Linked DNA regions of Rhinolophus ferrumequinum. The protein of the gene in region 2 interacts with the protein of the main gene of each other region in a pairwise test. Links are inferred from orthologs where the notes say so. Each region holds a gene or a part of one and is shown on either strand. Other genes may lie near its edges.

Region 1 (8,126 bases), on a different chromosome or scaffold from region 2:
TGCTTGCTCAGGCATTTGCTTCAATGCCCCATTGGACTCCATTTACAAAACCCAAGTTCAAAAGTAAAATTATTAAGAATTTCAAGGTGGCAACAGCAGAACGTAGGGCCTTTCTGAGTGTGGGGCCCTGTGTGACCGCACAGGTCATATGCCCATGAAGCCAACCCTGGTGCTTCATGTACAGGAGCCAAATCATAATTTACTTAACCAGTCTGCTAATGAAGTGTATTTGTTTCATTTTCTTCATCTTTTGCTATTAGAAACAATGTTTGTTGAAAAAACAAACAAACCATGTATATATAGACTATCTCAAACTTTGGAAGTAGGGAAAATATTTATTATACTTTTTTCATTTTATTTAACGTGTTCTGATATAATCTTAACTATATTCCCTGGTTGAGATTCAAGGCTTCTTCCTCATGAGCAACTCTACGATAATAACGAAATAAACAGCGCCATATTTCCAGACTTTTTAGAGAATATATCAGTAAGATAAATTCTAGAGCATAAAGTAGTGCCTGCCACATTGTTGTTGCTCAATAAATATTTAGGGAATGAATGAATACATTTCTAGAGATGGAATTGCTGAAATAAAAGGGTATTTGCAGTTATAATTTTGATGGCTATTGCCTAGTTGCCCTCTGTAGATATTGGAACAACTAATATATCCCCCCCAAAAAAAGGCTATTTCCCCTCTCCATTGCCAACACAATGTGTTAGCAAACGTTATCGTCATGACCTGTTAGATGAAAACAGTATCTCAGTGGAGATTTAAATGCTTGTCTTTTAGTGAGTTGAGCATCTTTTCATTCATTTACCAGCCATTCCTATGTTCTTTCTCGTAAAATTTCTGTAGTATCTTTTGTCCATTTTTCCAGAGAGATGCTATTTTTCTAAAAAATAATATTTTCATTGTGAAGTATCCATACAGAAAAATATACAAAAGTTTTTGTATGTTTTGCTAAACAGTTATAGAGCAAATACCTGTGTACCCATCACCTGATCAAAAAGTAGAACACTGAAAGGAAAAGGAATTCTGGATTGCCTTAGGAACTCTGGAACTGCCTGTTCCTAAGAAAAACCTCCACCCTCCACACTCAATCAAACAACACTCCCTCTGCCCCCGTTAGCCAGCCTGACTTTCATTATTGTGTTCATTTCCTTCCTTTTCTTTATAATTATACCACCTATCTATGCATCCCTATGCAATATAGTTCAGTTTTGCCTGCTTTTAAACTTTATATAAATGGAATCATACTTTGTATATTTTTTTGTATCTTGCTTTTTTGTGTGTGTTTAATATTACCTTTGTGAATATTTATTCATATTGTTGAACATAACCATAGTTTATTAATTTTCGTTGTCTGAATATACCACAATTTAACCATTTTATGCTTGATAAACATTTGGGAGGTTTCCAGTGTGGGGTGCTGAGGAACAAAGCTGCTATGAATATTCTTGTACAGTGATCCTGACATTTACAATTCTGCATTTCTTTATAATACATATAATACTGTGACTGCTGGGACACAGTATACATAGCTTCAATTTTATTAGATTTTATCAGAGTCTTTTTCTAAAATGGCTGTGCCAGTTTACACTCCCACCAGCAGGGTAAGGATGAAGATGGCTGGTATTTATTTATTGATTTGTAAGAGGTCTTTATAGACAGTATCATAGAAATTAGCCCTTTGTAATAGGAGTAGCAAATTGTTCCCCCCCCAAGTTTAGTCTCTTTAAAAAGGCACTGATGTTCTTCCAACCCCCCCTAGAGGAATGAAAATGTAACTGGAAGAAGTGGAGTATTCTAATTTTGAAGCATTTAAATGAAAAAATGTTCTGGGTTAACCACTTTATCACTCTTAATGTGCAATCGTATATGTCATCCGTACAAATAATCATACCGGAAATTTTTATGGAATGCTCTGGAATACAAGATGTCAATATAATAATAATGATAGTTAAAAACTGTTGACCTTGTATTAGGCACTGTTTTAAATCCATTATATATATTAACTAATTTAATCCTTACAATAACCCTAGGAGGTGGGTACTATATTTTGCTCCATTTTACAGATACATGAAATAAGGAGCTGGATTAAAGATGTTTTCTAGGGCATATTTAAGCAAAATTAATAAACTCAGAAAAGATTCTTTCTTAACTAATAAAGATGTTTTCTTTTTATAATTTCTTTTTCCTCTTGGGAATGAATGATACGCCATCTGGGTTTCTTTTCCCCATCTCAGATCTGCAATATACCCCATAGCTTTCTCTTTTTTCTTTGAAGAAAGACAAAATGTATATATCGTTCTTCCAATCTTTACTCACAATTCCTTGTTCTTTGTGTCACAGGGACGTCAGAAATCTGCAGGTAGCACTAGGAACCAGAGAGTGTTTGGAGCAAGTGGAAAACGGAAAGAGAGAGACGGAGATAAGGGGTGAAGGACAGGGCCACAAGCCTGGCATGGGTGTGTGAAGGGTGGGAAGGATGCTTTCTTTATGGTGGGGTTTCTTAACCTGCAGTCCACAGATTAAGAAATCCATGAATTTAGATCAGGGAAAGTGATGTGCCTTTATTTTTGCTAAAATGTTAACAGAAAACTAGCATTTCCTTCAGTTATGAATGGAGACGACAAACCAAGTCGTATTAGCAGTGTCTGTGATTTTGTCACCGGTAGAAATCACAAATATTTTCCTAATAATATGACAGCTGTCACAGCGATCTTGAAATATTATTTATGCTCATTTACTACCTGAAAATTATGGTGGTCATTAGGTCTGCCATTAGATCTTATTATTTAATACATTAATATAAAGCCCAGATATTACTATATCACACCTTTCAAAATATTTTGAAAATTGTATTTTAATGTCATTGCTTTCCTTTAAATTCCTCTGTATGTTGATTACACATAAAAAGTATTCTGAGAAGAGGTCCATATGTTTCACCAGACTGCCAAAGGGTCCGTGGTGTGAAAAAGTTAAGAACTCTGCTTTATGGATATTTTGACTTTCATTCTTATTGAATGAGCCTTTAGAGAGTCCCAGAAATGAATCTCAAGACCGGTGAGGCTGTCATAGTTTTATTATTCTATTTTTCCAGAGACACTTCCCCCCATAACTTTCATGCCTCTTCAATATTCTGTTTTTCTTACCTCACTGCCCCTCTTTCTGTTCTTTTCATTATCCTGTGGGTGCCTTTTTACACTTCTATGGGTAGTTTATCCTTCAGCATATCATCAATCAACATATTTAGGTAGAGAACTCCAAACCTTCCCTAGTCCAGATTGTCCACCCTCTCCCAAATTCCGTATTTCCAGTTGCCTCTGGGACACCTCCACTTAGTTTTACCACTACTGTTTGGAACTGAACATATTAAAAACTAAGATTTCTCCCAAAATTTGCATGCTGTCCCACTTTGCCTGGATGACCATCTTGTCTGTCCCCCTGGTTTTCTGACCTTAGATTTATTTTAAAATTTAAATAAATTACTTAAACAAAACAAAACAAAACCCTGGAATCTTTGTAAATGGCACAAAAATCAAAAGATACAAAAAGATGTACAATGAAATGTAAGTCTTGCTTCCACCTGGTCCCCTAGGCACTCAGTTATCAGCCCAGGTGGAAAGCACTTTGAGTCATTTTGATTCCTTATTATATTGGTTATATCTCAAGTCCTTCCCGTTTGTGAGATGTGTGCCCTTTCCTCTCCAGGCTCTTGTGACCTTATATCTGGTTGACTTTATACATATATGTATGTGTATATTTTATATTCATATATAAAATCTCTCCTATGGCCTTCCGGCCTCGAGTTTTCATCACGTCGCTTCCTGGATGAAGAACCTACAGGGGTGAGGGGCCGGGGTTGGGGGTGATGGAGAAGAGGATCCAAAGGGGACTTAGGTAGGGGGTTCGGAGTGGCTGACTGGTGGGAAGCTCTGCCAGGATTCCTATTTCTATCTTTCCCACCGCGGGCCCCCTTCCAGTCGCCTTGTCCAAATGTCTCTCATTTCCAAGAGCCAAGACAGAGACAGCGAGATACAGAGACAGAGACGCCGAGGCACCAGCATCCCTCTCCCCTCCTGTCCCGCCCCACCGCTCTGACGGACACCCGCCATTAGCCAATGGCGCTCACGATGTGCCCCGGAAGGACCAATGAGAGACAGAGGAGGGCAGAAGATTCCCCGCCTCCACTTCTAGGCTTGGTTGAGCCGTGCAGGTAGGTCCGGGGCCGGGGGAGCAGCCGTTGGCACTGGTGCCGCGGGGGTAGGGGGCACGAGTCGTTAGGGGTGATGGTGGGAAAGGGGATGTGGTCCTATCCGCGGGAGTTTGAGGGGGTGGCCCAGGCGGGAGGCGGGGGGCCGGCGGGCCCGGGGAGCGGGCGCCGCCGAGGGCCCTGGAAGCGGCTGGACTTGGGGGAGCGGGGACGCGTGTGTGAGGCACAGGGACCCCCGCCCCGCGCCCACTCGCAGGCCTGGGCCGCGGGCTGCCGGCCGAGGGGCTGGGGGCCTGGTGCCCGGGGGCGGACCGGGGCTGGGCCTGGGGCCGGGGGCGCCGAGCAGAGCCCGGGGCGCCAGGCCGAGCCGAGGTGGGACGGACCGACGCGGAGAGGAAGGGAAGCTGCATCCCGCGGGCCGCCCCTCCTGAAGCGAGCCGGGGCAACGGCCGCAGGCTCCCCTGCCCGGAGCCCACTTCCCCATTCGCCCCCTCCCTGACAATGGGGATGGGACAGAAGGAGTCGCCCCACTGCGGGAAGCTGGCGGGGGGTGTAGGTTTGGGACTAGGGTCCAAGGTGGGGGGAGGGGTGAGAACTCGGGCTCTCTCCCCTTTCTCTTCTTCCCATGTCTTTTGCGGTGGGGATCATGGAGGGTCTATTAAATCCTCCTGAGACTTGGGTCAAGAGTCAAACTCCCCCGTCCCCCCCCAAAAAAAATCCGATGAGCGGTAAGGAAAGTGATGCCAAGTCTTCGAAGCCCAAGTGACAAACGCATAGCAGGAACAAATCTACTCCAGAGGTTTTTATTTAAAATTTTTTTTTCCAAAATGAGGGTATTGTAATTTTTGATTTTTTGAAATTTATTTTACAGAGGTGGGTGCTGTTATTCTTGTCCCTACTCGGGCAAGCCTCCATTTTAAGCGAAGCAGTAACTGGTTAAGCTGGAATTTTCATTCAGGCCTAGGACTTGAACAAGGTTCCTAGGAGAGGTCATTTAATCCATCCTCCTGCCTCCAGGCAAACTTGCCTCTCTCCTTCCTCAAAATTAAGTTGTTTGGTCTGCTTTTAACGATCTCTAGAGAAGAAGGCTCTTTTATTTGCTTGTAGCACTTCAGTCAAGAATGGATTTTATTTTTTATGTAGATAGGTCCTGAAACTTAATAAAATTTAGGACAGTGAGAATGATCAGAGAGGTTTTTATTAAATAAAATTAAATGTGACAAGGGTCTTTTTTAGATGGTCCGTTAAATCACTTTTCAGTAGTGTTTATGAAGTACCCTGAAGAATCATTTTTCTACCTGGGATTTTGGTTTTCTAACTATTTGATAAGCAATTTTATATTATAGAAAACATGTATTACACAGTTAATTCACTTTTTATGTAAACTATATTTCTACATGATATGGATATACACATACATACATTTGCCTCTTTCTAAAGGGGACTGTGTTTTGTACATCTTTTTAGGATGGTGAAGCAAATAGTACTTCAAATCTCTGTCCAGATACTCAAACTATTTGCTTATTCTTGATTATTTTTTAGTCTAAATGAAAGTCCTCTCTTTCAGATACCTTCTTGAAACAAAAAAATTTCCTACCTGCTCATACTTGGTGACTGAGGGATTACTAAGACTCCCTGCTTGCTCATTTCTGAGAATTGTCTGAACTATTCCTGACACTATGAATGCTATGTGGATGCCTCCTAAGGTAAGATGTGTTATTTTTTTTTTTCAATTAAAGGCCTCATTTTATTTTTCTTTAGAATTGAGAATATTCTCGAATTTGCAATTCTTCAACCTATTACCTGACCCTCCTTTCCCCTCAAAAACTACTCTTATGGTTGCTTCCTAGGACTCGTTGGTTACTCTTTACTTTGTATTGCTACTGTTCTTAATTGTTGGTGTTAAAATATGAATGAAGTTCTCAAGTTAACTTTCATTATAATGATGTGTTAATTTTCTAACTTTAAATTATGACAACCCACATAGCTGTAAAATTATCCTATCTCAGTAGGATGGATTGGCACTTCAGCCATCCAGGTCCATTTTCAACAGGTAGTCATAGGTAGTAGGGTGTGTCCCACTTGCAAATCTGTAGCTGATTCATGAATTACAAGTGATGTGTCATTAACCATTTGTTTACTCTGAAACTTCATGTAGAATTTTCTGAGGCCTGTTGGTTTGCGTGTACGACTCCACTGGAGAGTCCTGCTGCTTCCTAGTCATTTGCATAGGAATTAACACTTTTTCTGCACAGGTAGCGCTTTGTGCCAAGTTTCATTTCACAGGATAAACCTCTGTTGGGCAATGTGGGCTGATGATCTTTAGATGAAAAAGCTCTTATTAATGTGGTTCTCAAGTCCCTTCACTCCTTCCAATTTCTTGTACATAGATGGCCAAAGGACACTTCGTTTGTACTAAGTAAAGGGCAAAGCTTAAGACATTTGTAGGGAGGAAAATGAGAGGAAGGATGGACAGAGAAAGATGAGGGGTGATGGAAGCCCTCACCAGTTTCGCCAGGTGGCTCAGGTTGCCTTCCTTTGGAGCTAGATATTAGTGTATTTAAGACCGTTGTGTGGTCATCTGCCCTGTGGAATGCCAATTTAATGCAACGAATAAATCAGAATAATGTAACCTAAATATTTGGACTGTTGGAAATCTTTAGGTAAATGTAGACTGAGTTCTCTTCTTAGTTTATATTCCAGCTGTTGTTGTTGCTTACATTATGTGTAAAAGAAGTCAAAGTGATAGTTTACCAGCCATTCTCCGTGTAGAGTTGGAGGGGTTGTATGGGGAACCCACCCAGAAGTCCTGAACACTTAGGAATTGGAAAACCTTATATAAGAGTGTTTCTCTTTGGTACCAAGTGTTTAGCGCCAGGACCTGGTGACCTCTGTTATCTTTAGGAAGCAGGCAAGGGGATATCAGCAGGCCCTAGGTCCCCAGAAACCCAAGGAAATTAGGATCCATATATTGAATTTTGTTTTACCATTACCCTGGTTTTAACTAATGTATTAGGTACATAGAGCCTCCTTCTTAAGATATATATGATGTTTAAGATTTTACCAGTAAATCTCTGAACTTGGGGTGTTATGTGGTTGACTGTTGAACAACCCCAGGGATCAGGGGTGCCGACCCCCCGCCCCCACACACACACAGTCAAAAATAAGGAATAACTTTTGACTCCCCCAAAACTTAACTTCTAATAGCTTACTGTTGACCGGAAGCTCAACCAATAACATAAACAGTTGGTTATCACATGTTATGATACATGTATTCTTAGAGTATGTTATACTGTATTCTTAGAATAAAGTAAGCTAGAGAAGAAAATTTATTAAGAAAATCTTAAGGAAGAGAAATGCGTTTACTGTATTGAAAAAAATCCGCACAGTTCAAACTCATTGTTCAAAGGTCAACTATAGTTCCACAATAACCCCTGAAGTTGTACCAAAGACCTCTGGGATGGCAGGAGTACAGAGCTTCCTACTATATGAGTTACCTACCACCTGTTAACTACTTAAGAATGTAGTTATGTGGCTGCCTTAATTTTATGTTTCCTACCAGTTCTTTGATCAGTGGAAGATCTCTTCTGAATCTGAGCAGATTTTTTATTTGCTAACATTTTCCTCCTCCTTTTACTACTTAGAAAAACTTATAGTGTTTGATTAGGACAGGGCGGGGAAAAGGCACTTTTTTCGGGGAAGAGGATAACATTGAATTTGCAGGATGGGAAATAAAAAGGGAGAAAGAGAACTTTATTCTCTTTTTCAGTTGTAAATATCCTTAAAATGTTTCTGAGATGTATTTTCAGGTTACAGCTGTTCATTTTTAAGTAAAAAGAAATGACAGCCTAATTAAAGTGTATACTTTGGAGCCAAAGTGTTCATTTTTTGTAGTTCTTCCACTTTGTT
Region 2 (7,699 bases):
TTAACTGAAATAATGTCAACTGCTTAAAATACTGTCTGGCATCAGTTGGTTAGATCGTGGTGCTAATAACACCAAGGTTGCCAGTTCGATCCCCACACGTGCCACTGAGTTGTGCCCTCCTTAAAAAAAAAAAAAATAGTGCCTGCCACATAGTTGAGCCCTCAACAGATAGATGTAGGGGACCATCCCCACTATGGCTACCAGGCCATCTCCCACTTACCTCCCAAATACCCCTGGGAGGCTTTCATCAACAAGGGGCTCCTCCACATGGGGTACCCCACAACTCTTGTTGCAGCTGTCCAGCCCGTTTTGTTTGCGTGTCACCCGTTTTGGTGTGTGATGAGGGCCATGGGGCGCTGGCACCTTTAGCTATCCTTTGTTTTGCTATCTATGTAAGTAATTAAGGGTCTGAATCTAAAAGTGGGTCTTGCATCATTACCAGTTCAATCAGTCCCATCGTGACCTGGGCCGTGTACCAAGTGTTGTGTGCTTGACCATAAGTACTATCTGTTATTTCTATTGTCATTGTCTTTGGCTTACAACTGCCCTCTCCCAACTTCTTCTCTCAAAGACAAGACGCTCAGACCAGAAGTTATTTATTTTATTTCCACCACAACCCCCAAAAGGATCGCTCCCGCCCTCTCTCACCTAGATGCAGCCCCTGCCCCAACACCTTCACAAAACACTGATTTCCTCCCAGAGCTAAAGTGAACACCCACTCACCAACTATGGCCACACCCACTCTGCCCAGCTCCCCATCTGCCTCCAGAGCCACCAGCTCTTCAAACTTGCCTACCTTTTGGCTCCCTGCCCAAATGTAGTTTCCCAAGGTCAGCTCGCTTGCTTGTTCTGCTTATGTTATTATATGGGTGCCATTCTTAAAACCCTCTCTGACTTATTCCCTAGACGGCTCTCCTGTGCTCATTTACAGTCATTCTGCACAGCTTTCTGGCCTCACAGCCCCGTTCGAGAGCTGGTTTCCAAGCTCTCCCCTGCTCCCTGAACTCCCGGGGGCCTCAGTCTCTCAGCTGTCACTTGAAAAGTGTAGGTGTTGACTAAGGCCAAATGATCCATGATTCTGAGGAGAAGGGGAGCAACATGGACAAGAAATGGACAAGAAAGGAGACAAGGATAAAAGGAGAGAGAGAGAGAAGGGGGGGCTTTGGAAAGAAGCTAGAGGCAGAGGGATGATGGGGGGACCCTCCCATCTCAGCCCCAGAAACAGAAGTGAGCCAGAGCCGGAGACCAGTGCCCCCTACCGCCCGAAGCCCTGCCTGTCTCCTAGCTCTTGCGGGTCCTCTGGCTTCGAGCCTTGTACACTTCGATGAGCAGGTCCTTGACATATTGGATCTCCCGCTCCACAGACTCAGCCCTCTCCCTCAGCTCCCGGTTCCGTGCCTCCAGCCCCTGACACTCGCCCTCCAGGGCCTCACCCTCTGCCCGCTTCCTCTGTCTGTACCTCAAAGCAGCTGACTTGTTCTGGTCTCTCTTCTTTTGCTTGCGGTCCCCTCGAGTGATGGCAGGACTGGGGTAGGGGGCTGGGCGAGAGGTTTGAGGTAGAGGAGGGCGCTGCTGTGGTGGGGGCATGGGAGCCAAACCCGAATCCCCCTGCCCAGCCTCACTGCGGCAGTAGATGGCCAGCAAGTCTAGGGTGTCCAGGGCAGGGGGCTGGTGGAGGTCAAAGGTGGGGGGTAGGGGGACAGGGAGGGAGGGTGCCGCTTGTGGTGGTGGCTGTGGTGGTGGGGAGGATGGTGGGAGGAGTGGGGCATCAAGGAAGAAGTCTTCCATCTGCTCCAGCTCCTTCTTGAGGAGCGAGGCCATGGCTTCCAGGTCAGGGGAGGGTGGGGAAGGTGGGGGAAGGGCACCTGAGGGTAAGGGGGGCTCCAGAGGGAGAAGGGCTGTAAAGTCCACCCGTTCAGTCATCCAATCAGAGAAGCCATCACCTGGAGGATTGGAGGAAGACAACCAATGAACCAGTCAAACGTCTAACCAGTCAACTAACCAACCAACCAACTAACCAGTCAACCAACCAACAACCAGTGGACCAGCCAACCAATCAACTATCTGATTCAGTAACCAACCAATCAACCCTTTTCACCGACCAATCAATGAACTAGTCAACCAACCAATGACCAAAACAAAACAGTCAACCAACCATTTCTTCAACCATTCCAACATTCTCTTTACTGAGTAACCCACATCTGTGATTTGATTTACTTTCTAGTTTCTTCTTAAAACACAAACTCGATCACACATACACAATACACCCTGTTTCACCTTTAATTAATTATTGAAAACCCACTATATGACAAGCATTGGGGACACACTAAAGGAATAAAATAATCCGTCTCAGGGCTTCTGCATATGCTATTTTCTCCACCTAAACAGTTCTTCCCTTGGGTCTTTTCATAGCTCATTCCTTCCCATCCTTTAGGCTTCAGCCAAAACATTACCTACTTGGAGAGGGTTTCCTGGCTATGGACTTTAAACTAGGTCCACAATGTCATTTTGTAGCTAGAGTGTGAGCTCCAGGAGGGCAGGGATGTCAGTCTTGTTCCCAGCTATATCCCCGGCACCTAAAATAGTGCCTGGCATATTACAGGTGCTTAATAATTATTTATCAAATGAATGTATGAATGAATAAATTCTCCCTCCTTCTGTCTTGTGCCCCACACCACAGCTCCACACCACCTCCATTCTTCACCTGTCCTTACCTGCCAGGGGCTCTCCCCCCCCTGGAAGCCCGCCCTCCAGGGCTCCCCCAAGGACCTCATAGGGGCCCAGGGGGGCAGGGGCCAGGGGGAGTTTCCCATAGTCTAGGAGCCAGCTCAGCCCGCTAGCTGGGAGCAGGGCCCTGTCCAGCTCCAGCCCCAGGGTGGCCAGGAGTGACATGGCTGCAGCACAGGCGCTGGGAACCAATGGCAATGAAGGAAGCTGCACCAACAAGTGAAAGGAGGCTCTGGAGGTCGCTCAGTTGGCCGAAGACAGGCACCAAGGTGAAAGTGGAGGACCTACACGTGTGAGACAAAAGTGGGCAGGGTCATAGGCGAACCTCACTCACCGCCAAAGTCGCAGGGAAACCAAGTTCTACTCCCACATCCCGGGGGGCAGGGGGCGCTGAGGGGGGGGACCCCTCCCTTTCCCTTCCAACTGGGTTGGGACTATGCCTCGCCCTCAGAATTCTAAATCTGCCCTTTCCCCAAATCTGAGCCCCACCCACTCCCAAGGGGATTCTCTTTAGGCCCGACTTTATTTTCTTCAAAATTCCCGACCCAATCCTCCAATACAGAAACATAATGGTTTCCCAAGGGAATTATCTTAAGCCCTTCCCACCCACCCCATAATATTCCTTCAGTAAAAAAAACTCAGTCCCAGGGGAATTTTCTTCCAGCCACACTCCTTTCTCTAAAATACTTCCTTTAGGCCCCACCCCCTCCCTAGGTCCCATCTCAAATCAGTTCCCAGGGGAATTCGCCCTGCCCCACCCCTTCACCAATGTTATCTATTCAAATCCTGCAGGGACTACCGTTATTCCGCCCCCCAGCCCCGCCCCACTATCTTAGCTGCACCCCTCCCCCGCAGGCCCCTATTATTTCTCCAATCGAAACCCCACCCCTCATCTAACGGTTCGCTTAGCCCCGCCCCTTCGCATAATACTCTCCCTAGCCTTATCGTTCGTCAAGGCTGAGATCCTAGCTCCACCCCCTTGTCTTTACGCTCTGCCTTCTACCCAGTCAGTGTAAACTAGCACCCGCCCCAGCAGATGCCTGAATGAAAGGGAGAGACGCTATGCTGCGCGCCTAAGCGATGTGGAGCAGGCGACTAAGCAACGTGGACCAGGGAAGGTGGAGGTGGCCAGCAGAGAACAGCTCTCTACGCCAACCTTCCACACTTGGCTCTCTCGCCGAGGGCCAAATTTGGCGCAGCTCCACCACCAGAACGGTCCCATTGTTCTCACGTCTACGCGGGGGGGCGTCAGTGCGCATGTGCAGCCGCCTACTGCCAGCCCTTCGCACAATATGGGCTCTGGTGGGCTGACGCGCATGAGCAACAGCGCGAAGACAGACTCGTTCCGGAAGAAGGAAAAAAAAAACTCTCTGAGGGCTGGTGCGCAGGCGCAACCGTACGCAGGCCATCTATAAACGCCAACGCAAGAAAAAGACACCCTCCCCCACCATCGGGCCGAGTACGCATGCTCGGCCGCGCGCCCATGCTGGTTTTCCCTCTTCTGCGCCTGCGCGACCGTGATCCCTCACTTTCGTCTCCCCAACCTCCAAGCCTGGTGGTGAGGGCCGCGAGCTTCGAAACGGCGGGAAAGGCGGTTGGAGAGGGAGGGGTGAACGGTTACTCACTCCATGGCTGTGGAAAGGAGAGGCAGCGGCGGCCTCGGCTGAATAAAGAAGGCAGGAGCGAAGAGCGCAGGCGCGGTGAGCGCGGAGACGGGCGGGGGGCACGGAGGGTTCGCAGCTACAGAGCCATGGCCGGGGCTTCGCGGGCAAAGGCGGCTTCGCCGTAGTGTGAGGAGAGATCGTGATCTGAGGATGGGGAATGTGGTGGCCCCGGGGAGTGGGAACAGATATATCTCGGGCGGCGCAGCACGGGACCGCCCGGATCCTTCCGCGCCCCGCCTCCGCGCGGTCCAACCCGGAGGCGGGCCTGGCCCCCTCCTCTTGGGCATCCGGCCCCCTCCTCCTTTCGACCCCTGGGGTTTGGCCCTCCCTTCCCGGTGGCTCTACGGTTCATCCCCCTTCTGCTGGCTCTGGCCCTCCTGCTCTCTCGATCCTAGGCCTGATTTCCTCCTCCCTGAGACCCTCACTGGTGAATTTCTCATTTCCTTTCCCCTGCTTCATGAATTTCCGGCCGGCCACACGCTCATCTCTGCTTTCCCCAACTGCCTGCTCACGCTGAGAACGCTTTTTGTGGGTTAGAGTCCCGCGAGTCCCAGCCTAAGCTCCATTCTAATCACATACCTGCCATGCTGGTCTTGGGCAAATAACTTCTCTAGCCTCATAGATAGGGAACTATCTATAATATTAGAATAACCAACTCTACCTAATGGGGTTATTTGTGAGAATTAAGGAAGTCGATGCCTGTGAAGACCTAAGCACAAAGACCCGCTTATACGTGTCTGTTCAACCTATTTTATTATTAATAGGAACTCGGGGGCCCCAGTCTCACACCCCCACACACGCACTCCCCGCAAAAGCCTCAGACACTTGACCATCCAGTACCAGCTAACAGGTCGTTCTTTTGTCTCCGTTCCTCCAAGGTGTCAATTTCCAGCCATCCCCACCCTCCCCCATTCCAAGTAATGGCCGCTCAGCCCCATCCTGGTGTAGGGGTGCAGAGAATCTGGCATCATCGCCCCCACTCCATCCTTTTCTCCCTCCCCTGCCCACCTTCCCTCAATCCTTGGCCGCAGCATTCCTTTCAGGCCAGTTGTTTCATTCTTCTGGCCCTGCCCCTCTCCCTGACTTCCTGAGACGCCCCCCAGTGGATCAGTCTCCCAACCCTGCCAAGAATGGGGGGACTTCCACTTCCATTTACTAAAAGAGAGCGAGCTTCCTGGCCATCTCCTCCCTGTGCGCTGGGTCCTCTGCCAGCCCAAATGGGTGTGGGTCTTTTCTCTGCTGCAGAAACCTGTCTTTCCCACCCTGCATCCATCCACGTCAAGACATTACCCTGGAGTTCAACCTTCATCACTTCTGTGGCAGTTATGAGACTGAAGCAAGATCCAGAGAAGGTGGGGGAACCCTGATCTTGAGAGTTACGTGGGCAGTAAAGAGAAGCGGGCTTCTGCCTTCCCCCTGGTTGCATGCAGGAAGTCCTTGGCATCTGAGCGCTTTGCCTTAGGGCACTTACCGTCCTCTCTGCCAGTATTTGAGCACTTGCCCTATATTTCCTCGAGTCTGTAGAGGCTCCATTATTACCTAGGCAGCACAGAGTAGTGGTTAAGACATAGATTCTGGAGCCCCGTTATTTAGGTTCAAACCCTGACGCACCGCACTTACTAGCCTTGTGGTACTGGCAGTTTCCCTTAGAAAGAAGAGGCCATTAATGGTACCTGCTTTTTAGGGCTGTTATGAGGATTAAATGAGTTAATCCAGGTCAAGCGCTTAGACTAGTGCCTGGCACACACGAGGTGCTATACACATAAGGGGTGGTGATGGTGGTGGTTACTGAGGTGGGATATATTTTATCTCCACTGCTAAGCAGTTAGTGCTTTAAAACTGTGATTGGTCTTCCACCTTTTAAGTGGAACTTCAGGACCGATCTCTTCCTACTTGTCAGTATAGAGATTTGAGCAAGACCAGGCAGGGTTAGGGTAGACGATTGGACAGACTGCTGGTAGTCGGATGGCACAGGCGCGCGCGTGCGCACACACACACACACAGTTTTTCTGAGAAGACCTTCTAGGTTATGTGTGGGAAGTAGGTAGAGTTGTTTTTTTTTAAATAAACTATTTGGGAATAATTCTAGGTTTACAGAAAAATTGCAAAAAAGATAGTGTACAGTTTCCATATACTCCTCACCTAATTTTTTCCATTGTTTTCATCTTACGTTACTGTGATACACTTGTCATAGCTGAAAAACCAACATCTCATCTGTACACGTCTATTAACTAAACTTCAACTTTATTCTGATTTCACTGGTTGTTCCCTATAGTCCTTTTTTGTTCCAGGATCCTGTCCAGGTTGCCATATGACATTTGTCATTGTGTCTCCTGATCTGCAGTCGTTTCTCTGACTTTCCTTGTCTTTTATGATCTTGACAGTTTTGAGGAGTGCTGGTCAGATATTCTATGGAATATCCCTCAGTTTGGTTTTGTCTCAGAGACTGGGACTATCGGTTTTTGAGGGGACGGTCAGGTAGGGTATTTTTTAATAACCAGAAAGGAGCTTGCTCAGTATGGGAGTCGTGCTGCGGCTGTGTGAGGTGTATGCCGACTGAGAAGGCCGTGGGGCAGGGATCCTGGTTCCCTGTCCCAGCCCCCGTACCGCCTTCTCTCTCTAGCTGTCCTATTCCACCCAGTTCAACTCTGATGCCAACTGCCCCACCCAAGCAGCTTGACTCAGACCTGCTGGGTGGGGGCCAGTTCTCCAGACTCAGCTCTCTAGCCCTTCCTGGCATATTCTAATTTATGGGCGGTGGGTCATCAGTGGCTGCCTGTGAGCCTGAGCCCTCGCTCATGCCCACCCCTGACCCGGACCTGTGGCCCCTCCAGGACTCAAACGCCTCAGCCTCCCCCACCTTCGCAGAGTAACCCAGCCTTTCCTTTCCAACTCGAGCTGGGGCTGGAAGCGTGGGTGGGGCTGCTAGGGACTCTTTTTCAGTGCGGAGAGACCACGCTTAGGGAGTGAGGTGGAAATTGCAGGCAGGTTGCATCACCCTGGCTCTTTGATGGGGAGGGGGGTGGGGGGATTCTCTTGGGACCCCTGTGCACCTGGCAACAGGCTCCTGTTTAGCGGAGTCCTGGATCTGGAAGCGGCCCCAACACAGCAAGGGAGGGTTGTGGAGGGAGAGGGAGAGTAGCCACCGGTGCAAGACACTGAGAATCTGAGACTCAATGCCAAGGAGTGACCTCAGATCATAGAGGCTAACCCACTTGTCTTGCGGGGGGGGCAAGCCTGAGGCCCCAAGAGGTGAAAGGTGTTTGCACAATCAGACTGCTAGTTAGAACCAGGTCTCCACAACACTG
Region 3 (8,270 bases), on a different chromosome or scaffold from region 2:
CAATTTATTTTTATTGCTTTGTCAACAGATGCATCCAAAGTGAATTATCTTAAAAATTCATGTATTCTCCTCTACACTTTTATATACTCCCATTTTTATTAAAGTAGCAAACTTTAAAAAAATGATAATGCAGTGGGACACCCAGATATTGACTGGAATTAATGAACTTCTACTGCTTTAATCTTCAGATCTGCTTTCTCGTTTCCTTCTTTTTGATCCCTGTAGCATTCATATGCCACCCTTTTAAACCACAAAGGACTTGTTAGTGCAGAGGTATTGTACAAGTTCAGGTGAAGAAACCTAAGTGTAGAAGCGGTTTCTGAGGAACAACTCTGATCCTGTGTAGTGTGATATGACTACGCGAGTGAACACGATTTGAACTGCTTTAATCATAGTCCTAGTTCTTTGCTTGGTCAGACTATATTGCAAAGCACTGGCAAACTAGAAAGCATTAAGAGTCATCCTGGAACTTTGGTCAGACACCTGTCTGCACTTGAAGGAACATGGGTGACTCACATGCAGAATCACTGAGGTAGACAAATGAGTCTCTTTAGATAACAGAAGGGCACTTAGGAAGAAGGGGCGTTTTAAATTGCTTTGTTATTATTCTGGAGGGCAGCATTAGGCTTGGTATGTGAGAAGGTAGGTGCCAGGTTACTAAAAAAGAATGTTCTAGCAACTAGAGCTAACCAATGAGAACAGTGGTAGTTACTGGAGATGTTTAGTTATGCGCTGGGTGACCAAATCTTAAGACTGTGGGAGAGAGAAGTCCAGCTGTGAGTGCTGGGCTAGACCAGATAGTTTCTAGGATTCTGGAAATATTTAGTGGTAGCTCCTTTACCAACAGTGATACAGAAAGCTGAATGTCATGAAGGACTACTAAAAGATATTCCTTCCCAGGAAGTTTTGCCATGGCGTTAGAGGACCTACTTTAGTCTGAAGTCTTCAGCAGCCAGTTTAGCATTATCAATTAGCAGGATACATTTAGCTCTTTCCCGTTGAGCTTCTTTAATCTGGAAAACACATGAGAAAGAATGACATTTTCAACTGGATAGGAGTTGATCCTCAGGTACAACTACTATTCAATCAAAGACGATGTTTTTATTTCAATAATTGCCACATGAAAACAGGAAGAATAATGATATGGATATTTAACATCAAGACTTGTAAAATGCAACTCTAGTCCCAGGGTCTGGTCCGCTTTCTCTTTTTTTCACAAAAAGAGAATTTAATTCACCTTGAACCATCAAACCTTATCGAGTGTCTTGCCTTTGATGTTGTTCCTGCCTAGAATGTTCCTCTTAGCTTCTCTCACTGGGTGAACTCTTCCTCCACCGCTCAGTTTATCATTCCTTCAGACCTTCACTGATTTCCTCAAAACAGCGGGATGAACTGCTGGTGCTCTCAGTATCCTACACGGCCGTCCGTGCTAGCACTTCCCCCTCTGTGTGGGATAAATGTTGCCTTCGTCCATGCCTGTTTCCCGTAAGTTACATCATGTTCACCATCCTATTTCCCAGTGCCCGGCGTGGTCCCAGCACCTCGTTAGTGTCTGCTAACTATTGGCTGATGAATGGACACTCGATCTGTGGTGGGAATTGAGGTAGTCACTGGGACTATCAGGATAAGCCCCTGAGCTTAAGCCATGACCTAGTGGGTGAATTCTTTAAGATGCACATGGATCAGAAGTCTGCTTGTGGAAGATGTTATAATGACATGTTTCTTTCAGCAGATCCAGTCCTGGAGCAAGCTGCATTCCTTCAAATACTGAGTCTGCCCAGCTAAAGGGAAGAAATGGCTGTGCCTGTGTATTTGGGATGATCCAAAGTAGATTCAGAAACAAGAACCATGAGACAGCTAGGGGAGAATGGTTGGCTGATTTTGTATGTTTTTTGCGGGCCTGAGAAGAATGACCTGTTGGCAGAAAGGGCAATTTAAACACCTTTGCCTCCTACATCCACATAGTTCCTGGAACCCCAAAGTAACGCCCCGTAGAGTCTGAATCAAATCGTCCAGACGTCTAACACAACACAGGAAAAAAGAGACTTGTTGGTAAGTAAGTAGCCTTTTCTCTAAAGGAAAGCACATGTTAAAATAGAAAGGAAAACGAAAGGGCCGACACTTATTTTGATCAGATAAGAATATTAAAGCAGTGCAAATAGTCTGTGCTGTATCTGAAATGTTCAATTAGGAGCAAAGTCTTCTTTCATTCCACACAATTGATAAAACAGAGAAGTGCACCTTTCTTGGATGATGTGGGAACAGGTTCTGATACGATTGCAATACATTTGAACTGGGGGCAATAGAACATCGTATTACTGTACAAGTGGTTTCTGCACTGCTTGGTGATGACGACCAGATGATTCCGCAGGACACTGTAAAATCCAGGTAACATAAAGACCCATACCCTTCTCCACTTCCACCCTGACTCACTTCATCATTGGAATGTACGATACAGTATTCGAATACTCGTCTTACACCCTTTACATAAATGAAAGGAGGAAACTCAAAATTGCCTGGGGTTCCAAAAGTTGTTGGGAACTAGGTGAAAAACTAAGAAAGATTTATTATCACTTAAAAAATTTAGCTCCTTTCAGAAAAAATGTTTGCTGTTCACTTAGCCCTGATCTGGTAAAACTATGACAGAAAAACAGTTTGTAAGACGGGAGGATAAAATCTTCATATTTTCTATATAATTAGATTTAAAAACTTTCAAAAGTATGATTTGTAGTCATCCTACTATGTAGTCAGGTGCTGCAGCACTAAGAGTAGATGATAGACTATACCATTTGTACAGATGTAGCATTTCAGCCCAATTTGCTTTACAGCATCCATTTAGACCCACCTAATGTGTATGCCCTCTTGGTACATCACGAAGCTAGACAGAGGAGTAGAAAACCCAGGCCTCAGCCCTCACCTGATTTTGCAGCTCTTGGATTTGTTTGTAATAGGCGCTGTAGTCCCGACTGATGCTGGGCGCGTTGGTTTCGTACCACTTCTTGATCTGCCCTTCAAGTGTAACATTGGCCTGCTCCAGGGACCGCACCTTCTCCAGGTAGCTTGCTAGGCGATCATTCAGGTTTTGCATGGCCATCTTCTCATTGCCAAAAAGCAGGTTCCCTTTGGCGATGTCATTCTCATAGTTCACCATGTCACTGGAGACCGAGATGCGGGTGCCGTGGCCTCCAGCTCCCCCATAGACGCTGGGTGCCATCCTCTGGTACTGTAAGACTTTCTTCCTATACACATGCTCGTTCATGCTGACTGTAGGGCTTTTCAAGGAGGGACCCAGGCTTCTGAGACTTCTTTGAGTGAAATCCCTTGGGGATTCTAGGAGGGAGCTCCTGCAGCTTCAGCCCAGATGGAGCAGAGTCTGTCTCTCGGTGATAGAGGAACTGAGCTTTTATAGACTTCACAGTCAAGACACCCCACCTCTGCTGACATCTCACTTTAGGATTGACACCACAGTCCACTTTGGTCCCCCGCCTCCTTGGCCTTTGTACAGCAATCTCTTTAATTCCATTCCAGAAATTACCACTAGAGGCATTTCGTAGAGGCTTTTCTCAGGGGAGATTTATTTTTATAAACAGAGGTAACAAAAGGCAACAAGAAAGGGTATTCTCTTAGCCCTTGCACCTGTTTTGGCGGATTTTTTTCATCCTAATACACATGAAGAATATTTGCAATCTCCATGACAGATGTGGATACATAATAGTAAGTCACACTGGCAATAGAGAACAATGTTACAAAATTTTATTATAATTTATCTCTTTTTCTTTTTGGTGAAAACATTTAAGTTCTATTCTCTTAGCAAATCTTAATTATACAATACAGTGTTATCAACTATAGTCATCATGTTTTTACATTAGATCCTCAGACATACTGAAAGTTTGTACTCTTACCAACCTCTCCCTGTATCACCCACTCCCAGGCCCTGGCAGTGACTTTTCTGCTCCTTGTTTCCATGAGCTTGACTTCTTCCTCCTCCTCCGCCCCCTCTCTCCCCTCTCTTCTTCTTCTTTTTGAGATTCTACATATAAGGGATACCATGCAGTATTTGTCTTTTTCTGTTTGGCTTATTTCACTTAGCTTAATGCCCTCTAGGTCCACCCCTGTTGTTGCAAATGGCAGGATTTCTTTCTTTTTTTATGGGTGAATAATATTCCATTATACATATGTGGTATATTTTATATATATATATATATATATATATATATATATATATATATATATATATATATATATATAAAAACTGGGGGTGCCAAAAAATGTATACAAGTGGACACTTTAGTCAACGTTGCTCAAGCAGTAGTTCGCCATAATCAGAAGTGTCTGGACGCTGATGGTAACCACTTTGAGCCCCTCTTGTAATCGCAGAAGTCAAATGTGACTTGTGTTCATCTTTTGTTGTCGGTATATATTGAGTATTACAATTGTACTACAGTTTTCCTTTCTTAAAATGTGTATACATTTTTTGGGGCTTCCTCTGTATATATAATATTCTCAGCTATAATGCCTGAGAATATCTTTATCTCCATTCATCTGTTGGCGGTTGATGGACACACTTAGATTATTTCTGTATCTTGCCTATTGTGAATAATGCTGCAATGAACATGAGGGTGCAAGTATCTCTTTGAGATGGTGATTTCATTTCTTTTGGATAAATACCCAGAAGTGGGATTGCTGGATCATATGGTAGTTCCATTTTTAAGTTTCTGAGGCACCTTCACACTGTTTCCCATAGTGGTTGCACCAGTTTGCATTCCCACCAGCAGTGCCTCAGGGTTTCCTGTGTTCACATCTTCACAAGCGTTGGTCATCTCATGTCTTGTTGATGACAGCTAATCTAACAGGTGTGAGATGATGGTTGTGCTTCTGATTTGCGTAAGAATAGTGGTTGATATGTACAAATAAATCACTCTTCAGAATCTCTGTTGTATTTTTTGTTGTTGTTTCTAGTCTTATCCTTGTTTAGAAATCATTTTATATGACTATTAAAATGTTTTGTACAAACATACACCTTGAATATTTAAAACAAGAACGAAACATGTATACATTTGGAGATGTAGTTTTGAGAAAGTGAATTAAGTGACTTTAGGTAAGTGGTGGATAGATGATTTTGAAGTTTTTTTCTCCCACTAATTCTAATGTTATAAGACTAGATAATTTATTGAAATTTCTTAATCACTGCTTGGCTTTGGGTTTTGTTCCCTAGAAACTTAGAATAAATAGCATAAACTTTGCACCTGGCCTGGTGCATGGAGAAGTCTCTCTTCCTGGATAAGGTCCCCTAAACACCCACCATGAGACAGACCCTGCCCCACCCATCCTGAAGCTACAGCTGCTTCCTCCTGGAATCCCCAATGGATTTCACTGGCAGAAGCTTCCTCAGAAGCCTGATCTTCCTCACAGGTCCTCATATTCACAGCTCTAGTCGAGCAAGTCCATGTGTCGGAAGCAGGTGTGTGCAGTGCCTTAGGGCTACCCCCAGACTCCCGAGTTGGGCTGGGAGCCACTGCAGGTATGTCAGCCTCCAGACACATTGGGAGCTGTGGGTGTGCTCTCACCAGTGGGGATCGGAAACACATTGTTGAACTGAACGAAATTTATTTATTTGCTCCCCCCATTCAACTCCCCTGGCCGAAAAATTCACACCTTCCCTGAAACATTTAAATTGTTTCCTTAAGTTAAATTGAAGGGATTGGAAAAGTCACAGAAAACACTTCATTGATTCTCATCCTGATATTTTAATTGAATTGAAGTTGTATATGATGAAAGCAAGTAAGCAAACAACAAAAAAATCAATAAAAAAAAAACCTAAACAAAAGCATATCCCAAATCCTTGCACATTCTTTCTGAAGAATTTGGAACTTACTTGTTTTAGTGATCTATTTTTGTTGTTGTGGTTCTTCCACTAAAAACCAATGGCTTTTTCACTTTTGAGGTTTTTTATTTGTTGTTTTTGCAAACTTCCTTCTTCCAAAATAAGGTAAGACTATATTATTTCTCCCTTATAAACTGTATGGTTTAAAATAATGCTTTGTATTAAAATTTGCTTCAGTTATATTCTGAAAGTAAAAATTGCGAGAACTAAATCTACTTCATGCAATTTACAGTGTGTGTGTGGACAGCTCTATATTATCTTTTTATCCAAACATGTATGTGTCAGCCAACACTCACTGAGTGTTCACCATCAATGACTGGACATGTCATAAGCAGATCTTACTATTTATTAAAGAGCTGTAAATTACTTTGCAAATAGATGTCACAGCTAAAATCTGTAGGGAAGAACTTTTTATGAACACATGAATTGTGTTCTTTATATGTATATTCGTAAAATTCATGTTTTTTTTTGTTATTGCTTAATGGGCAAGAAGGTTGTTTGATTAAAGTCACTGGAAAATTGTACTGTTTGAATTATGTTTTATAGTGATTTAGTTTCAGCTAAGAGTTTCATACACTAACATATATGATCAAGGTGTGTAGAAGCATTATTTAAATGAAGAGTTAGCTTTATAACTAGAAAGGAATATAAGTGCAGTAATTAAACATGATAATTTTTGAAGTTCTCGTCTTTAGCACCATTCTTCCTTCTGGCTGGACCCAATTACATTTAAGCGAAACAGTTAAAATTTCATTAGAATGATTAAAATCATTTTTAAAATTTGGAGAAATAACTTTGTCATTGTGTTATCCCACCAATTTTTGGCTAGTCCTTGTAGGATTTTGAGATTTCAAATGTAAACTATTTTATGGGTTTCAGTCATCCAACTTACTCATTTGTTGGAGTAGAAAAGTTCCTGTTGTGAAGACTTCCACATGTTTATGTAAGGACAGGATAATTTGACAGCTCCTCTATCACATTGAGTTTTATACTTTGGTAAAACAGTATATCTTATAATATGACCAACAGGAAATGAGGGTAGTATTTCACAGAAGGTAATTTCTCTGAACTATACCTGATGACTAGATATAGATCCTGTTGACTCTTGTTCATACATAAATCATGACTTTACAACCCTTGATATTCCAGGCTGTTGGATGGATGCATCCGTAAATAAATATTTATTAGATCCCAACTTCCTTATAACTAATAGAAGGTGGATTTTTACCTCTGAGACTCCGCTGAGGGCGTTAATGATTAATGTTAAGTATGGCCAGTGTTTTAGAGAGTTATCATAAATGCTGTAGTTCTCAGAGGACTTTCAACCTTTTTTTTTCCTCATTGGATGGATGAGCCATTGCAGCCCAGACGTGATACGTATTAGGATCTGTAATCTCTTGTGGGGGGAGAGGTTGTCTTCCCTGTAGGAACTGTGGGTGTTTGTAGGCATTGTGGTTCTAGTTACCTGACCTAACACAAAGTTAAATCAGAAAAAATCAGGGCCTCTATGCTTTAAAAACTAGTGTACGTAGTGAAATAGTTGCAAGTGACCTGTTATGATGTCTTTGATTGGCTTCGAAATAATATGGGAGGGAGAAGGAGGATGGAAGTATAGATGAAGGAAGTTTGGCCACGAGTTATTTGTTGAAACTGAGAAATGGGTACGTGGGGATTTATTATACTCTTCTAAGTAGTCTAGTATTTGTTTGAAATTTTCTGTAATAAAACATTTTAAGATCCTGAATTTGTAGCCACAGCTAGCCTGACAGTTTGTTGTCTGTATTACCCATGTCTGTGTGTCATTTGAAAACCTTAAGTGGAGAATTTAATTTAAAGTGGTCCCTGATCAGTGATGTGCTTAGCCATCTGGCAGCAGGAAGCTCAAATCCTCTCTAAAATAATGTAACTTCAACGAACTCTACCGATCAAATTGTATGGAATTGTGAGCACGACAATAAACAGTGGAATTGGACCCACAAAGAGGTTAGCTGTGCAATTATAGGAAGGAGAATATAATATACACATACTAAAGTAGTTTAGTAACTAAAAGATAAACTTGCAAACTGGAGCAAGTACTAAGACATTATAAAACTTACGTAGAAAATTAGAAAATAAACCAGAAGAAACGAATAATACAATTCAAATTAACAGCTCAGTGGATGGGTCCAACAATGGATTAAGCTAGGCTAAAGAGAGAATTATTGAATAAAAAGATAGCTCTGAAGACATTATCCAGAACGCAGCTAAGTGCCAAACAGGACTCAAGACACACGAAGGTTAGGGTAAGGAGGTTGAAATATTTCTAATCAGAGTGTCAGAAGGAGACAAGGGACAATGGGGAAAAGAAAACATTCAATGAGATAAGTGAAAATTTTCAGAATTGTTT
Region 4 (7,267 bases), on a different chromosome or scaffold from region 2:
ATATATACTTGCACACTCTTGCTCACAAGTCTACCTGCAAATACACATTCCTAATCTACACTTCCCATGCCTGCACCTACACACATGTATCCCTACCCATAGGCCTGCACACACAAGGGTTCCCTCACATACACCCACCACAAGCCTGCACACTCAAGCTCGCTCATAGGCACACACATCTTTTGCATATACAGTTGGCCCTTGAACAACACAGGGTTTAGTGCTGCTGACCCCTGACACAGTCAAAAATCCGTGTATAACTTTTGACTCCCCTCAAATTTAACTACTAAATAGCCTATTGACCGGAAGCCTTACTGATAACACAAAGTCGATTAACACACATTTTGTATGTTATATGCACCATATACTTACTATTTTCCTTACTGTGTTTCCCCAAAAATAAGACTTAACCAGACCATCAGCTCTAATGCGTCTTTTGAAGCAAAAATTAATATAAGACCCGGTATTATATTATATTAATTATATTATAATATTATATTATATTATTATATTATAAAGATCCGGTCTTATATTATAGTAAAATAAGATCAGGTCTTATATTGATTTTTGCTCCAAAAGATGCATTAGAGCTGATTGTCTGGCTAGGTCTTAGCATTTTCGGGGAAACACAGTACTATTAAGTAAGCTAGAGAAGAAAAAATGCTATTCAGAAAATCATAAGAGAAAATACACTTACAGAGCTATACATATTTATTGGAAAAAATCCACATATACTCATAAGCGGGACTATGCAGTTCAAACCTGTGTTATTCAAGGGTCAATTGTACATCCTCACTCATGCATACTTGTATACACACACTTCTGGGTGCCTGTCCACACTTGTCTATGCATATACAAGTTTACTCCCTCTTATATACATGCTACACATACACAGATGGACACACTCCTACATAGGCCTGCACATTAAGTTAGCTCGTGTGTACACACCGCACATGCAAGCTGGTGCCCAGGTGCGGATTCATACATGCCTGCACATATCCACTACATGTTAGCACATACTACTCACTTATCCTTAGCTGCACTCATACCAGCTAATAATTATGTACTTGCGCACAACCACATTCATGCCTGCAAGTATTTACAGATACCCCTTGCACCCCGTGGAGGAACGCTCTTAGCCCTGGTCCTGGGGTCTGGATGGTGCTGCCCTCTGTTGGAGACAGCGGATAAGCTCCTTCCGGTTATCTAGGATGGTATCGAAGCTCTCCTGCAGGCGGGCCTGCTGGTCAATCAACTGGTGCTGCAGACCTCGGATCCACTGGAGCAGAGCCAGGCGACGGTACATCACCAAGTGCATGTGGTGCTTCTCCTTCTCCTGCTCTTTGTAGCGTTCTTGAGCCTGCAGCTTCTGCATAGCCTGGGCCACCGAGGGCAGAAAGGGATCTGAAGGGCCAGGGCCTGGAGGGGTCCCACAGGCAGGCTCAGGGCTGCTGCTGGGGCTGTCAATGCTCAGGGAGCTGCTGGCATAGCCATTGTCCTCCAGAGGGGAGCTGACTGTGCCAGCACCACCCATCTTCTCAGGCTCAGCTCTGGGGATCTCTGCCCCTTCTGGTGGGCTTCGGACCTCCCCCTCAGGAAGTCCAGGGGCCTGGAAGGACTGGTTATCAGAGGGCAACGCGGATTTCTTCATCAGAATGGGCTCCACTTGGCCTGGCATCCCACTCCAATTCTCATTGGCATCCTTGGCACTTGCCATGAAGTTGGAGTTGCTATCTGGTTGGAACTCAGGCTGACATACTCCAGAAGGTGGGCCCCCCAGGAACTGGCCCCCCTCAGCCACCCCTGGCTGGAAGGCGAACATTTGGTCTGTAGAGGGGAAGCAGAAGAATGAGTCAGAGCAGGACAGGGTGGGATACCTGAGTCCAGGCAACCTAGCTGCTGGGACAAGGCAGCAAGCGGGAGCCTGGCTGCTCCTTCTCAGTTCCTTTCTCTGGTCTCTGCTAACATCTCCCTTCGTGGTTTTCCTCCTCCCTCTCTGACTGTTACTTCTCGGTCTCCTGCAGAGGGTTTTCCCTCAGCCCTCGAGGCATGTTGTCTTCTCATTCTATGTACTTCTCCCCCAGGTGACCTCATCCTCTGCTGTAGCTTCAACAACCATCATGTGCTGTTGACTCTCAGATCTGTCTCCAGCCCAGATCCAACTGATACCCAACTCTGTAACCAACCACTCCTCAAATTCTACACGTCCAAACCAGCTCACCATCTTCAGTGTCCTTAGCAAAATGACCTCACTGTGCATTCAGTCACTCCAACCAGAAACTTAAAAGCATCCTGGACTCACTCTGCTTTCTTCTGCCATCTCATTGGCCACCAAACACTGACAATTCTTCCTCTTAAAAACCTCTGTGTTTATGTACATACATCTCCCCTCACTTTCACTTGGTTCAGGCCATTTCTTACCTGGATTACTGAATGCCACAGCCTTTTCACTGATCTTTCTGCCTGCAGTTAAAAATGAAAATTTGAGGGGCCAGCCCGGTGGCTGAGGCATTTGGAGCTCCGTGCTCCTAACGCCGAAGGCTGCTGGTTCGATTCCCACATGGGCCAGTGGGCTCTCAACCACAAGGTTGCCAGTTTGATTCCTCGACTCCCACAAGGGATGGTGTGCTCCGCCCCCTGCAACTAAGATTGAACACAGCACCTTGAGCTGAGCTGCCGCTGAGCTCCAGGATGGTTCAGTCGGTTGGAGCGCGTCCTCTCAACCACAAGGTTGCTGGTTGGACTCCCGCAAAGAATGGTGGGCTGCGCCCCCTGCAGCTAATAACAACCTGCAAGGGATGGTGGGCTGTGCCCCCTGAAGCTAACAATGGCAACTGGACCTGGAGCTGAGCTGCGCCCTCCACAACTAAGATTGAAAGGACAACAACTTGACTTGGAAAAAGACCTGGAAGTACACACTGTTCCCCAATAAAGTCCTGTTCCCCTTCCCCAATAAAATCTTTAAAAAAAAAAAAAAAAGAAAGAAAGAAAGAAAGAAAAAAAGCTTTATTACAAAAAAATGAAAATTTGATTGGTCACAGCTCCCACTGCCTTCCCTAAACTTCTGCTAAATCTCTCCACGGCCTGCCTGGCTGTTCTTCATCCGGCCCCTGCTCACCCTTCCAGACTTGCCTCTAGATGCTCTGCCCCTCCCACCGCACAAATTGCTCAGAGGTCTCAGAATGCACCGTCATTCTCCTCACATGGGTCCTTTAGCCTGCCATACCTTTCCTCTCCCCAGCTCTCTAAGATCCTCCCTTCTCCACCCAGCAAATTCCTTTTTGTACTTCAAAACTCAGCTCTCATATCCCCCGTCTCTGAAGCCATCCTGAAATTCTCCTCACTGCCCCAATATACATAAACACTGCCTCCCTTTGGGTCCCCACAGCCTTGGGTACACGCTGTCTTATTCATGTTTTTTTCTCGTCCCTGGCACATAGTTATGGTCAGTAAATGTCTATTCATTTTTTTTTTAAGTCTCTTGTAAAAGCAGTTCATAAACCTGGCTGCCTGACTAGACGTGGAACTCCTCTATTTCCCACCGTATTTCTAGGAGACAGCATGGAACTTGGCATTAAGCTAGTGTCAGTCCACACTTGCTGGGTGAGTAAATGGGGGTGAGAGAGCGGGATATCTATACTCATGGATGGGGGCCAACAGTAGGAGCAGGCCGCTACTGCTGATTGCCCAGGGCTAGAAGAGCTAGGTTCAGTTCCCTCTTCTGCCCAAGGAGGACGCCCACTCACCCACCCACACACGCACAGACAAGCCTCTCTTGGACCTTGTCCCCTTCCCTCCATGCCTACCATCTTGTGTCCCTCCAGCTTGCTCCATCCTGAGGCCCTGGAGGGAGGGCATACTATGCTCTTCTTTCCTCCCCAACAACCAGCTTTACCAAAATTAGTATTTGAATTGACACGAGGTTTCTGCTGACCATCTACTACTAGGATTAGAAAAATGTGGGATCAGTAAGAGTGAGAGGATAGTGGAAGTGGCAGGGACCCTTCCCACATCCAGTAGTGGGCAGAAGTCCTGGGGGAATGATGTAGGGACCGTCCCTTCATAACCTACCAACACCCTCCTTGCTAAACAAGGTGCCAGTAGATCTTCTCCGCCCAAATGTTTTCTTTTTCCTAAACTTGGGCGGGGCCACGAAGGAGGCTGGGATGCAGTGAGGGTGGTGCTACGAATAGCGGGGTTCTCAGAGAGGGTAAAATGGAAACCCAGACACCCGGGGTCAGGCTTCTCTCCGAGCTAATCCGCAGTCTGCCGGGGTTGAGGGGTGGGTGGGTATGGGGAAGGGTGATTCTGTAAAAACAGGGGGAAGCGGCCTCCCTTCCTGCCTAGCCTAGTGGAAGAGGAAGACTACCCCCGCAGACAAAAGATAGAGACCATCCTTTCCTAATCTCTCCGTTCGGGGCAGCTGGGCCGAGGCTGCGGTTTCCCTCCTCGTCCCCGAACCTCAGTGTCTGGACTCACCGCCTGGAGGCGTCTGCCCAGCGCGGCTGGCTCTGGTTCCGCGGGACCCGCGACGGGAACTCGTCCCTCGGGGCTGAGGGGTCCCTCGGCCTGGGCGTCACGCGGGACCCGGGCGTGGGGTGCGGGGTTCCGGAGCGGTGCACCCAGCCCCAGTTGCGGACTGCGGAGCCAGCCGGGCGGCGTCAGCGCTCTGGGCGGGGCCGCCCGGCCCACGTGGGCCGGTTCGGTTTCCCGCGGAGCCGCGCGCGGAGGCCGGAGCGCGGGAGCCGCCTCCCCTCCTTCGCCTTCCGCAGCCTTGACCGAGGCCTTGCAGGTACAGTTTTATTTCCTAACTGCCTTCACTGGGCCTCTCCGATCGGCTTGCCTCACTGTGGATACACTGACATTTTCAAAATGAAAATCTGATCATGTCACCACCCTCCTGCCAAAAACCTGTTGCAAGGCAGATCCTTAAGGCAGCAGCCCCAGAGGTCTGATCATCCTGCCCCGTCTGCCTCTCCGGCTTCAGCCTTTGCGCTCCATCTCTGCAACCCGGCTTGACGCTTCTTTCTGCCTGCCAGGCGGCTTTTACAAACACTGTTCCCTCTGCCTAACATTCTCTCCCCGCTCTCATATTTCAGATCTCTTCTCAGATCAACCTTCTCTGACCCCCTTTTATATTATCCCTGGGCATTTTGTTCCTTTTCTTCATAGTCTCTGTCACAATTGGAAATTCTGTATTCATGTTATGCTTAGTTATTAAAGCCACTTATGAAAGCTACGTTTTTAAGAGAGGAAAGAAAATCTACTCTGGGTCAGGCATGGGGCTACTGTCTTGCACCCAGGCCCTGGTGGCTTCCCACAGGGCGATGAGTGCCTCTCTGGTGCCAGTGCAGTGAGCTTTTCTCAGTTTCCACTTACTGAAGCCTGATCCCCTCACTTTCTTCCTCCTTGGGGGAACTGAGGGTTTGGGGGCCCAGTTTGCAAGCAAAGCAAACAGTAATTGCTGACTTTAATGATCAACACCAAAAAGCAATGGCTGGTGTTTGGGAACCTAAGACTTCTTAAATTAAGTTCTTAACTTAGGCAACCTCAGAAAGAAGACTGGGACAAATTTAGCTTTCAAGGCACGGTGAGCTTCCAGAAGGTCCCTTCCACATCCCCATTTTACTGAGCAAACTACACAATTGGCTACACCTTCCTCACCTACCCCATTTCAAAATTAAACTAAACTAATATGGAGTCATCTTTGAACCATAATACATTTAAAATACCTTGTCTTTCCCTCATCCCTCTCTTTTGCTGCTTTTTTGTTTTGTTTTTGTTTGTTTGTTTCAATGAGGAAGAATTCAACTCTGTGATCTCCATGATAGGGCATCCTCTTCCAGTTTCAACTTGATTCCAACTCACCATTCTGCAACTTAGAGACTAAATGGCACATTAAATCACACCAATAAATCCTATGTACAAAAATAAGGAGAGTGGAAGAAGAAAAAAACTTTTTGTTTTATGATTATGACAACTCTTATTTTAAGAGAGAAAAGGAAATAAAAAAGGGAGAAAGCAAAAGTATCTCAAACTTTGGACACTCCCCCAGCTACAAATATACAGGTGGAGCCCTCAGCCCTATTTCTACATCAGGTTCCAAGACCTAACTAGTCTTCCCTTTTCCTTTAACCACTGCAAGTTCCCCTTGCCTTCAGCCGGAGTTTGCTTCCTTCTGAGGTGATCCAAACCCTCAATCCTAAAGGCTCTGAGCTTCAGTGGTCTGGAGTTATGCAAATCTTCCCATGCCACACAGCCATAATGTCATCTGATTGTTTGGTGGGCCCAGAACAGCTCCACCCCACCTCTCCTTTGGCTCTGTCTCTCCCAGCTCTAACCACGTGGGTTAAATGGGAGCCTGGTGAGTCCAGGGATAGAACTCCCCACTCCGGGTGAGTCAGTCAGAGCCCTTCTCTGGGACTTTCTGAAATAAAATTAAAGGAAGACAAAGCAGGGAAGATGTAAGCTGTAACATTCACATTCTCTGGCACATAGAAGTCAGTTTTTAGTAGGAGAAAATGATGTTGACACATAGAAGTAGAGACGAAAGACAGAAGTCCTCATGAGGTTCCAGTCCCTGTTTCCTGAGGCCTTTGTATACCTTCCAATAAGGCCCTCATTTTACCAATCCTAACTTGAGTGGAATTTCTTTCACTAGCAATCTAAAGAATGCTGATTAATAGAACACCCTTGGGTCTCACTCATGCATGAACCTCTCAGCCCTCATTAAGTAGTAGCAACTCTATTTCCCCTTGATAGCCTTTATCAGATCAGCCTACACTGTAACCTCCTTTCTTCTGTTCCTCTGATATTATGAGGAGCTTGCAATGCTGTGGAATCATCTTTGTGTTCCCTGGTTAGAAACATTCCTCCCTAGCTGCTAAAACCTCCTGGCCGGCAGAACCAGGATATCAGAGGCAGGAAGTAAACTCTTGGAGAAAGTCATTAGGTACAATCATGGAAGGTATCACACCCATCTCTACCTCTTTATATGTGTTCTGGCTACAAAAGACCAACAATTGTATACTGATTGTTGATTTAATACCTATATTGTACTCGGCATAGCAGAACCCAACCTGGCATAGCCAAGTCATCAATTGTTCATTCCATTTTTCTATAAAGCTAGTTGTTCTAAATAACATAATACCTGATAAGTCCAGTGAATTCCAAGGGCATCAGACTGTAGCCTCTCTTTTCTTAGTGAAGGGAAATATTGTATGGGATACTCTAGCACTGTATAATTAATGCAGTAAGTGCTCAGACA

The links.
Region 1: the proteins of NUP62 (region 2) and KANSL1 interact in binary tests that used the Homo sapiens proteins (3 or more experiments, as listed by UniProt). The two-hybrid records come from large-scale screens. The link is inferred for Rhinolophus ferrumequinum from reciprocal best matches to the Homo sapiens genes NUP62 and KANSL1.
Region 3: the proteins of NUP62 (region 2) and KRT20 interact in binary tests that used the Homo sapiens proteins (3 or more experiments, as listed by UniProt). The two-hybrid records come from large-scale screens. The link is inferred for Rhinolophus ferrumequinum from reciprocal best matches to the Homo sapiens genes NUP62 and KRT20.
Region 4: the proteins of NUP62 (region 2) and C9H1orf216 interact in binary tests that used the Homo sapiens proteins (3 or more experiments, as listed by UniProt). The two-hybrid records come from large-scale screens. The link is inferred for Rhinolophus ferrumequinum from reciprocal best matches to the Homo sapiens genes NUP62 and C1orf216.

What each region holds. Positions count from the first base shown.
Region 1 is NC_046304.1:41,155,745-41,163,870, reverse strand, and holds the start of KANSL1 (KAT8 regulatory NSL complex subunit 1), read left to right. Parts: upstream 1-4,851; 5' UTR 4,852-5,016; intron 5,017-5,649; exon of another isoform or gene 5,650-5,784; 5' UTR 5,785-5,923; intron 5,924-8,126. UniProt on the Homo sapiens protein: Non-catalytic component of the NSL histone acetyltransferase complex, a multiprotein complex that mediates histone H4 acetylation at 'Lys-5'- and 'Lys-8' (H4K5ac and H4K8ac) at transcription start sites and promotes transcription initiation.
Region 2 is NC_046298.1:44,951,052-44,958,750, reverse strand, and holds the start of NUP62 (nuclear pore glycoprotein p62), read left to right. Parts: upstream 1-4,292; 5' UTR 4,293-4,427; exon of another isoform or gene 4,428-4,489; intron 4,490-7,699. Other genes in the region: ATF5 (cyclic AMP-dependent transcription factor ATF-5), read right to left, coding at 1,282-1,943, 2,715-2,892. UniProt on the Homo sapiens protein: Essential component of the nuclear pore complex. The N-terminal is probably involved in nucleocytoplasmic transport.
Region 3 is NC_046304.1:37,140,005-37,148,274, forward strand, and holds the start of KRT20 (keratin, type I cytoskeletal 20), read right to left. Parts: upstream 3,388-8,270; 5' UTR 3,260-3,387; coding exon 2,918-3,259; intron 1,014-2,917; coding exon 931-1,013; intron 1-930. UniProt on the Homo sapiens protein: Plays a significant role in maintaining keratin filament organization in intestinal epithelia. When phosphorylated, plays a role in the secretion of mucin in the small intestine.
Region 4 is NC_046292.1:24,782,274-24,789,540, forward strand, and holds C9H1orf216 (UPF0500 protein C1orf216 homolog), read right to left. Parts: upstream 2,578-7,267; 5' UTR 2,513-2,577; coding exon 2,422-2,512; intron 1,828-2,421; coding exon 1,136-1,827; 3' UTR 664-1,135; downstream 1-663.